2 linked regions of the Bombyx mori genome follow. Each later gene encodes a partner of the first gene's protein in a complex. Links are inferred from orthologs where the notes say so. Each region holds a gene or a part of one and is shown on either strand. Other genes may lie near its edges. The genes, in order: probable ATP-dependent RNA helicase DDX46 and splicing factor 3A subunit 3.

Region 1 (4,623 bases):
TCGGGTGACTAACAAAGGCGAAAACAGTACTTATCGCCGGGCTATGTTTTATGACCCAAACTGCACCAACAAAATAATTCTACTATAACTGTTTTGTCCTCATCTATTTATATATATGGTTACTTACCCTTATTTTTCTGCTCAGTGACCTTTTTTTTGGCAGTGCCAGTAAGAATTACAATGCCAGTGCCACCTGTTGTTGGAACACTAATAATTCCTTTGGCTTGGTCCATTTGATTGACTTTACGCACTTCCTACAAAACAAAACGATTTTAGTTTCCAATTATTTTTCAAATGAACAGTAAAGAATTACACAGTATATTATTATATAGTATAAACAAGTACTCATTTTTTTTTTGCATTGCAACTGAAGGCATGACATACTAGGTGTTAAGTGGTTCCTATAGAGATCACAAAGTTAAGGTTTTGTTTTACCTATCTCTCTAACTGAAACATGCAACCTTGTGACAAAAATTGGGAGTATGCTGGAACACAATCTAATCATGAATGACAGCATATCTTATTTAAAAAAATATTACTAGTTTCATTTTTAATACACAATGCTATTCTTTCATCGGGGACATTATTCGTGAACATGTTATAACCGAATATGTCAAAAAATTGCCAGCGTGATTTAAACATCGACATCGTCACATTGGTTGATACAAGTACACCAGACATCGTATCTTTTTCGTCTTCCTGACGACTTCAATTTTTTCAAATAAAATAACTCTATTAACTTACTTGTTGCACTTCTTGCATGTACGCATCCAAAGGATCAATTTCATCTTCTTCTTCTTTCTTTTCTCCTATATTGTTTTTTTCTTTTCCTTCCGCATCTTCACCTGGCAAAGCTGTTAGATTATTTTAACATATGATGTGTTTCTTTTTACACAAAATATTGAGTAGAGGTATTCAGAAAAATCACTTTCTTCACACATTAATGCAAGATTATGAAAAAAAAAACGTTTAATTTTTAGCCAATAAGTTTTCCATGTGTGTGTGAATCTTAAATTTTGGTAAATGATGAATAGATTAGGTTTTGTTTTACTGACCTTCATCACCAGAGTCATCTTCAAGTGACCATTTCTTTGATGTCGGTATTTGTATATTAGTAACAATGCTTCCTTTTTGAACTTCTTTTTTAGCGGATTCGATTTCTTTACGTTTACGTTCAGCCCTCCATCTCTCTATGCGTTCACGACGTTTTTGCATTTCAGCTTCCAAGCGGTTTTGCTCTTCTTCCTACATAAATAATCAAATAAAATGAATAGTAAGTTTTGGCTTCTGCTGCTTATTACACCAGGCAATGAATTGCCATATGATATTAAGCTCTTGTGAAAGAACTACCTAAAGCCTCTAACACCACACCTCAGATGCTTGCCTGTCTCAACAAGGATACTAATCGTAGTATGTGTTAGTGGCTAAGTTTTATTGGGCCATCTAAGATCAAATGAGAATTATCACTTTACGACATTAGCAGCACTCCATTGACAAAGAGATTTCATTGCATGTATGTTTGTAGTTATTATGTATTTTTGATACGTAAATTCTAAATATTCAGTTAAAAGTTGAATGTTGATATAATATAATGCCAAACTGCTTCTGCATCATCTCAAACTCTTACCTAATCAGACTCTTTATAACATTTGCTAATTCATACAGTACAATACAGTACAAACATACAATTTACAGATATTTTATATTTTCTTATTTACGCTGTACCTATCTGTTGTATATGATTTCGATTTTTTGGGTCTCATTTATTTAGCAACAATGCATGACTCTCCTTATTACATAATACAATATACATTTATAAATATGTAGCCTTAAATTGTACATAAGCAAATGCAAAGTAGATGATGTGAAAGCATAAAAAAAAATCAAGTTTTTTACTTTAACTGTGAAGTTATGTATTAAAACCAATACATTGACAAATTTGCAGCTTTTATAGCCCAATAAATATTTCTTCACTAATCACTTCCAACACTATTATACCAGATTGCCACCTATGTTTCTCTGTTATTCAAAGCCCACTGGGTATCAGTCAAATTAAGTTTTTATCCAGATTGTATCTTAGAACTCAACAATTTTAATAAACATTTCAGCAGTTGTTTCAACTGTGTTATTGTGAAAATAAGCAACAACTTAACAAACAAACCTTGTCAACAGAGCCCGGGTTATATTCAGAAGAATCAGCTTTGCTACTCTTTTCCTTTGATTTTGATCTCTCCCTTTCCTTCTCCGGTGACTTCTTTCTCGATGATTTACTAGATCCATTTCTTTTATCATCTCTTTTATCACTGAATGAACTTAGATAAATTAGCAACACGCCTCAATTTAGCTTTAATAAAACATTTTAACAAAATGTATTATTTGAATAAATATAATTTTATAAACTGTACTAACGCTAACAAAAGAGTCTTGTGACTTAAATTAAAATATTTAACTTTTTATTTTGAGGTTATTAATTACTCAAAGTTTACCTTTTTCTGTCCCGATCTCGCTCACGACTACGATCTCTTTCCCTACTGCGATCCCGTTCTCGGCTTCGGTCTCGTTTAGAGTCACGATCTCTGCTACGACTGCGCTTCCTCTTTGAAGATTTCGAGCCCCGATCACGACTTCTTGATCTTGACCTCCTTCGTTTACGATCCGGTGTGTCAGAACGACTTCGAGATCTACGTCGATCCCTTTCCCTATCACGGTCTCTCCTAAAAGAAACAAAATTGTATTGTGAAAACTTTCGAACGCTAGCACATATTGAATAAGCTTCAAGAACGTTTACAGGTTAATGATTCAAGTAGTTCGTTTACAAACATCGACACTCACCCACTCCTAACCATTTTTTAAAGCAAATATAAAGAGATTTTTACACGTTTTATTTTTCTCATGCCTAAATCAACGGTGCCTTACTTAATACTAATAAAAGATTCTTGAAACAAAATGAGCTGTGAAATTTGGTTCGATTGCTATGAGATAAAAGTACGCATAACAAAATCACAAAGCGCTCGCTTGCATCCACGGATTCTACATTTGACAGTTGACTTTTTAATTTATTTATTTTTAGGGATTTTATGACCTGGTAACCAAGACCTTTAAGTCGTGTCTTCTTTTAATTTATATTTTTATTTTTATAAAAAATGATAATATAGAGTGGAATGAAATAAAGACAATTAATATGAGACTTTAATCAGCTGGGATGAAATTTAAATGAAAGAAGATGAGATGCTAAGGGATAAAATATAATTTCAGTAAAATGATGGTAATTTGCTGAGTTTTTTTCAGTGGACCTTCTGGAAGATCCCGAGATGTTATGTCCAGCGACTTCATTTCATTTACCCACATTTGTGCACTTTCACAGACATTAAACAGTTAATAAACCACCGTTATTATACATTTAAACCTGAAGAAACACTAAATAGACAAAATAAAACAAATCACACAACTTCACTCCTCGCGTTCCCGCCAAAAAAAACCTTGACTTTTTAATAGGTTGATAAAGATTGCTAGATTGAGTTTCTAAATTTACCTGGATTAAAATTTTCATATCTTCAAAATATAACATTTTGCAACCAAGCAAATCGAATGACAAAAATCGGTTTATTAAGAAAATTAACTCATATAATTTTTTTAACCAATACTGTCTAAGCCTATTCGTTGCAAATTTTACAATCGAGCTGAATTGACTTTCCGATGGGATGAAAACCTAACAGTAGTATCTCTTGGCCCACCACACGCTAATCTAACCATCTACTTTGATAAATGTGGCGAAAGTCTCAAAATACTGCTACACAGATATACCTACTCTTCAAACCTCGAACGTTTCGCGACAGAATTATCTGAGCTTTACGCATCTTACAAATTCTGCTAAACGTCGATTCCGTATTTAAAAAAAATGTGGTTCGGATATTACGTCCCACTCTATATCTAATGATCCAACAGCTTACTACTCGACTCATACCATCAGCCTTTAGCGGTTGATATCGACTTTAAGCTATGCAGATATTGGCTTGCGAGTAACGTGAATATCACTGTTCATCTTAAATTTAATTTCCACAAAGGTGGTTCAAGTTCAAGATTTAAGCAGCAGTAAAATTAAAAAACGTAAAAAGTCGATAATTGAAACCTTTAAAAAAATCATCGACTATTTGAAAATAGAGAGAGTTTAGTACCGAGACAACACTATTCATGGATGTTTTGTGTACAAATCGAAACACGAAAACCAAAAGATAACCTAATACATTCAACCGACATCATTGAAAATACAATTTAAAAATAGCGACTACTTTAACAAGACATAAAACAAGCTATTTTCATAACAATATCTAGAAATGGCAGACGATACTGAAAATGTAAGTGTTTGATTTAAAAATTTAAAAACATCGAAATTGTTTCAATACCTTTTATTTTTATTTCATTATTTTAGGTAGCTGTTATGACCGTAAAAGAACCTTTGGATTTGATAAGGCTTAGCTTAGATGAGAGAATTTATGTTAAAATGCGTAATGAACGAGAGCTCAGAGGCAAACTGCATGTAAGTACATTTACAATATGAAACGCTTTTAAATTTCTTATTTTGCTAATTTAAACCTATTGACTCGAATAATGTACTACTTCTGA
Region 2 (3,823 bases), on another chromosome or scaffold:
TGGCAAAATGAGCTGTATTCGGTATTCCAAGACATCGCATTCCGTGAGCGTGTCTCCACTCCGCAAAATGTCTCTGAAACGCTTTCGGTCCCTTGTATGTATAGTTCCCGCAAATTTCGCAATTGTAGCTTATATTGAGACCGTGTAACTTGTATAACCAATATGGAATAGGCTGAAATACCATTCTTACATTTATTATTATGGAATATGTAAAAATTATTTATATCTTGTTTTGGAATCTTTTACAGTATATTCTCACTGATCCGGCACTTCACTAGACTGACATGTCCAATAATCTGGCACTCTCCGTCCACGCCTCCCTCGCCCCTCTACGCTTATGCGTATGTAATGCATCAGAAACAGAAGAAACAGGAGAATGAGATCCTGAAGTGATATTCTATCTATTGCCGATTGATTACAAAATCTATCAGAAAGAGGATTGAAGTTGAGTTGAGTGAAGAAGGGATCGAAGAAACAGAGCAAATTATGACAGATGTAGAAATATGCGAAGTAGTACAAGAAGAAGAAACCTTTAAATACAACTGTAAGAGTTAAACCAGATGAAGCATTTAATTGTTTCAATACCTGCATGACATGGGCAGAAGAAAGCGTCATTTCTGCCAAAGGTATTGTTATAATTCTTCTAAACATGCGAGAAGAGGTTGTTAAGCAAGGCAGTGCGTTTCCAGAGATCTTTTTTGCCACGTACCATCCGGCTATGGAATGAGCTCCCCTCCACGGTGTTTCCCGAGCGCTATGACATGTCCTTCTTCAAACGAGGCTTGTGGAGAGTATTAAGCGGTAGGCAGCAGCTTGGCTCTGCCCCTGGCATTGCTGAAGTCCATGAGCGACGGTAACCACTCACCATCAGGTGGGCCGTATGCTCATCTGCCTACAGGGGCAATAAAAAAAAAAAAAAATGATTTTTTCTCTATAATCCAGATTTAACCGAACATTCCATTAATCCAGCACCCTCTGGTTTTTAACAGTTTTTAACAGTACTGAATTAGTGAAATTATACTGTAATTACATTTGGCCAAAATATTTCAGCATCTACCGTTTATGCGATCTTATTAATGTCTATTTGTATACATACATACCTAGTCAGGTCATAAATTCTGTCACATGTTTAATGTAAAATAATTGAAACAATTTATTCATTATGTAACCATTCATATACCAAAATGAACTTAACAAAACATAGATTCTTATGACACTAAAGTTTATTCAAATTGACCTCCGTGATTTTGAATACAGGCCTTCAATCTGCGCGGCCAGTCGTCTATCGCAGCACGAACGAGGTCCATGTCAATATCGGCGGCTGCCTTAATCAAGGATGTCTTGAGTGACTCCAAATTGGGATGAGGCTTTGAGCACGCCTTTTCCTCCAAGTGTTGCCATATCTTGTAATCTAACGGATTCAAATCTGGACTGGAGGAGGGCCAGTCTTCGTGCCGGATGAAGTCGATTTCACGCGCCGCCAGCCAGTCTTGTGTGCTCTTCGCTCTATGAGCTGGCGCCGAATCTTGTTGGAATACCCAGTGCCTGTTATTGAACATGGTATGAGAAACAGGTTCCACAAGGTTCGTCAGGACTGTATTTTGATACACAACTGCATTCGTTTTTACACTTTTCTCACAAAAATGTACCTCTGTTAAGCCCCAATAAGAAACTCCCAACCATACCATGAGCGAGGATGGAAAATGACCTCGTTGGATACGCGGAATACGGTTGCTCGCTTCTTCACTACTGTGTGCGTACACCTTATCATTTTGTTTGTTGTAGCTCTCTTCTACGGTAAAAATTTTTTCATCCGAAAAAAGAATTTCCCGATATTTTTTTCCTGCGTACCGCTTCAACAAAGCGCGGCATCTCTTCAGTCTCAGGTCCATTAGACGAGCATTCAAACGATGTCCTGTTTTTCTTCGATATGCCCGAAGCCCTTTTTTTTTTTTTTTTTTAACGCTGGGGAATCCATTTACGGATACCCGGTCCGGGGGGGTAACGAACCGGGTTATGTCGGACTCCGGCGCCTCCTGAGAGGAAGAGGGGGACGAGAAGGTCCTCCACCTCCCCGAATTTCTCGCAAGAGACTACGCCTTGAAAAAGGCGCGCGAAGCACTTGCCCCGCAGAACGACTACCGACTAAACCCCATCGAGCTCCACCACACCGGCTACACCAGACATACGGTACCGCAGTGCGCGCCGAAAGTCTGCCTTCGCCGGTATCCGTCCTGATGATAAGACGGGATTTCATATCCGGGAAAATCCCGAAGGACGTCATTTCGGGAGATACACCGTGGGCGGCGCACAGGAGCCACCTTGCACCGCTCCACCACCGGACCGACAGTCGAGTACCGGGCGCCCCCGCACCCGCCACCTGATAGTCCCTACGGGGGCTGAGCGGGAGCTTCACGCCCGCGCCGGCCATCCCGCCTTCTGCGCTGAGGTGCTGAAGAGGGATCCCACTCCCTTTCACGCTCCTCAGCGTCACGGGACGCCATTACCAGGTCACAAAACCTGGCCATGGCCTCCCAATGCCCGAAGCCCTAAGTCTTCATTTAACACCCTTTTCACCGTGGTTCTGCTTAACCCCATCTGAAGGGCCAACAGTTTCTACTTACGTTTGGGATTTCTTTGAATTCGCGCCTTCACAGCTTTTATCACTGCTGGAGTCCTAACAGACCGAGGGCGACCACTTCTTGACCTGTCATCTACACTAGAGTCTTCATTGTATCGTTTGATGGTACGATAAACGAATCTTTTGGTTATATTCAAATTTTTCAGTATGTTAAAAATTTGAATTGGCGCGTAACCGCAACGATGCAACGCAATAACTGCAACACGGTCTTCTTTAAGCGTCCACTCCATATTTAAAAATGAGTAAAATTCTAAAAGTATACATTTTTATTTTCATGAACAAATCGAAATTCGAATTCAATAAACTTTTTTGTGGCCAGCATTCTAAAATAAAAGTTTTTACTGTGTGACAATACTTATGACCTGACTAGGTATTTATAAAATTTCGCCTGCATATTTACTTTCTAATTCTGTTGCAGAATTATGCAGTTAATAATTATGAGGTTTCAAAGAAGTTCATGCATATGTATTCAATGCATATTTATTTATAAAACATGAAACAAATCAGAACATTTGAACCTCAACCCCAGTCATAGTTGCATAATTTGATATGAATAGACGCGATGTCTTGCCCCATCAGCCTGTTATTTACTAATACATGAGTAATGTTTACATTCGAACTGTTTTTCACAACTTTAGCAAATAATAATCTAAAACTCACCTTTCCATCCCATCCCAGTGGCAAATTCTTAGGATTATATGGCACTTCATCATCATCTGAATCAAGGTCTGGTGCTGCAGAAGCATCACTTTCGTCACCGCTTTCGTCGCGACGTTCACCAGCAGCTCTTGCAGCACGACGCGTTACATTTTCAATAGTTGATGCTCGTGTACTACTTATTATAGTCGCGAACCTATGGAATTCAATCAAAATAACACCTTCTTATGTTAGTTTCTTTTTAGGGCAAAGAAAGCCTACACTTAATGTATTATCCTGTCTTGTATACACATTAAGCTTTTCCTCATGGCTAACCAAATCAATATCAATTGCATTTGTATCCTACTCTACTATTAGTCCTAGTATCCTATTTACATGCCTAGAGTTAGAGATAAACCTTCTAGTACTGTTCTGGTACAACTTTTCATTATATTAGCTCTACCGTTGCTCCACTCCAGCCTCGCTTGCACAAAGAAGTTGCTTTCTAAATCTATCAGTTTTCACTCTGCAGTCTAAAAACTATAT

The links.
Region 2: probable ATP-dependent RNA helicase DDX46 (region 1) and splicing factor 3A subunit 3 share a complex: the UniProt entries of both Homo sapiens proteins name them as parts of the 17S U2 SnRNP complex. The link is inferred for Bombyx mori from reciprocal best matches to the Homo sapiens genes DDX46 and SF3A3.

Annotation. Positions count from the first base shown.
Region 1 is NC_085109.1:10,027,507-10,032,129, reverse strand, and holds the start of probable ATP-dependent RNA helicase DDX46, read right to left. Parts: upstream 3,059-4,623; 5' UTR 2,847-3,058; coding exon 2,833-2,846; intron 2,715-2,832; coding exon 2,487-2,714; intron 2,304-2,486; coding exon 2,162-2,303; intron 1,246-2,161; coding exon 1,056-1,245; intron 855-1,055; coding exon 745-854; intron 255-744; coding exon 128-254; intron 1-127. UniProt on the Homo sapiens protein: Component of the 17S U2 SnRNP complex of the spliceosome, a large ribonucleoprotein complex that removes introns from transcribed pre-mRNAs.
Region 2 is NC_085112.1:8,790,734-8,794,556, forward strand, and holds part of splicing factor 3A subunit 3, read right to left. Parts: intron 3,495-3,823; coding exon 3,302-3,494; intron 173-3,301; coding exon 1-172. UniProt on the Homo sapiens protein: Component of the 17S U2 SnRNP complex of the spliceosome, a large ribonucleoprotein complex that removes introns from transcribed pre-mRNAs.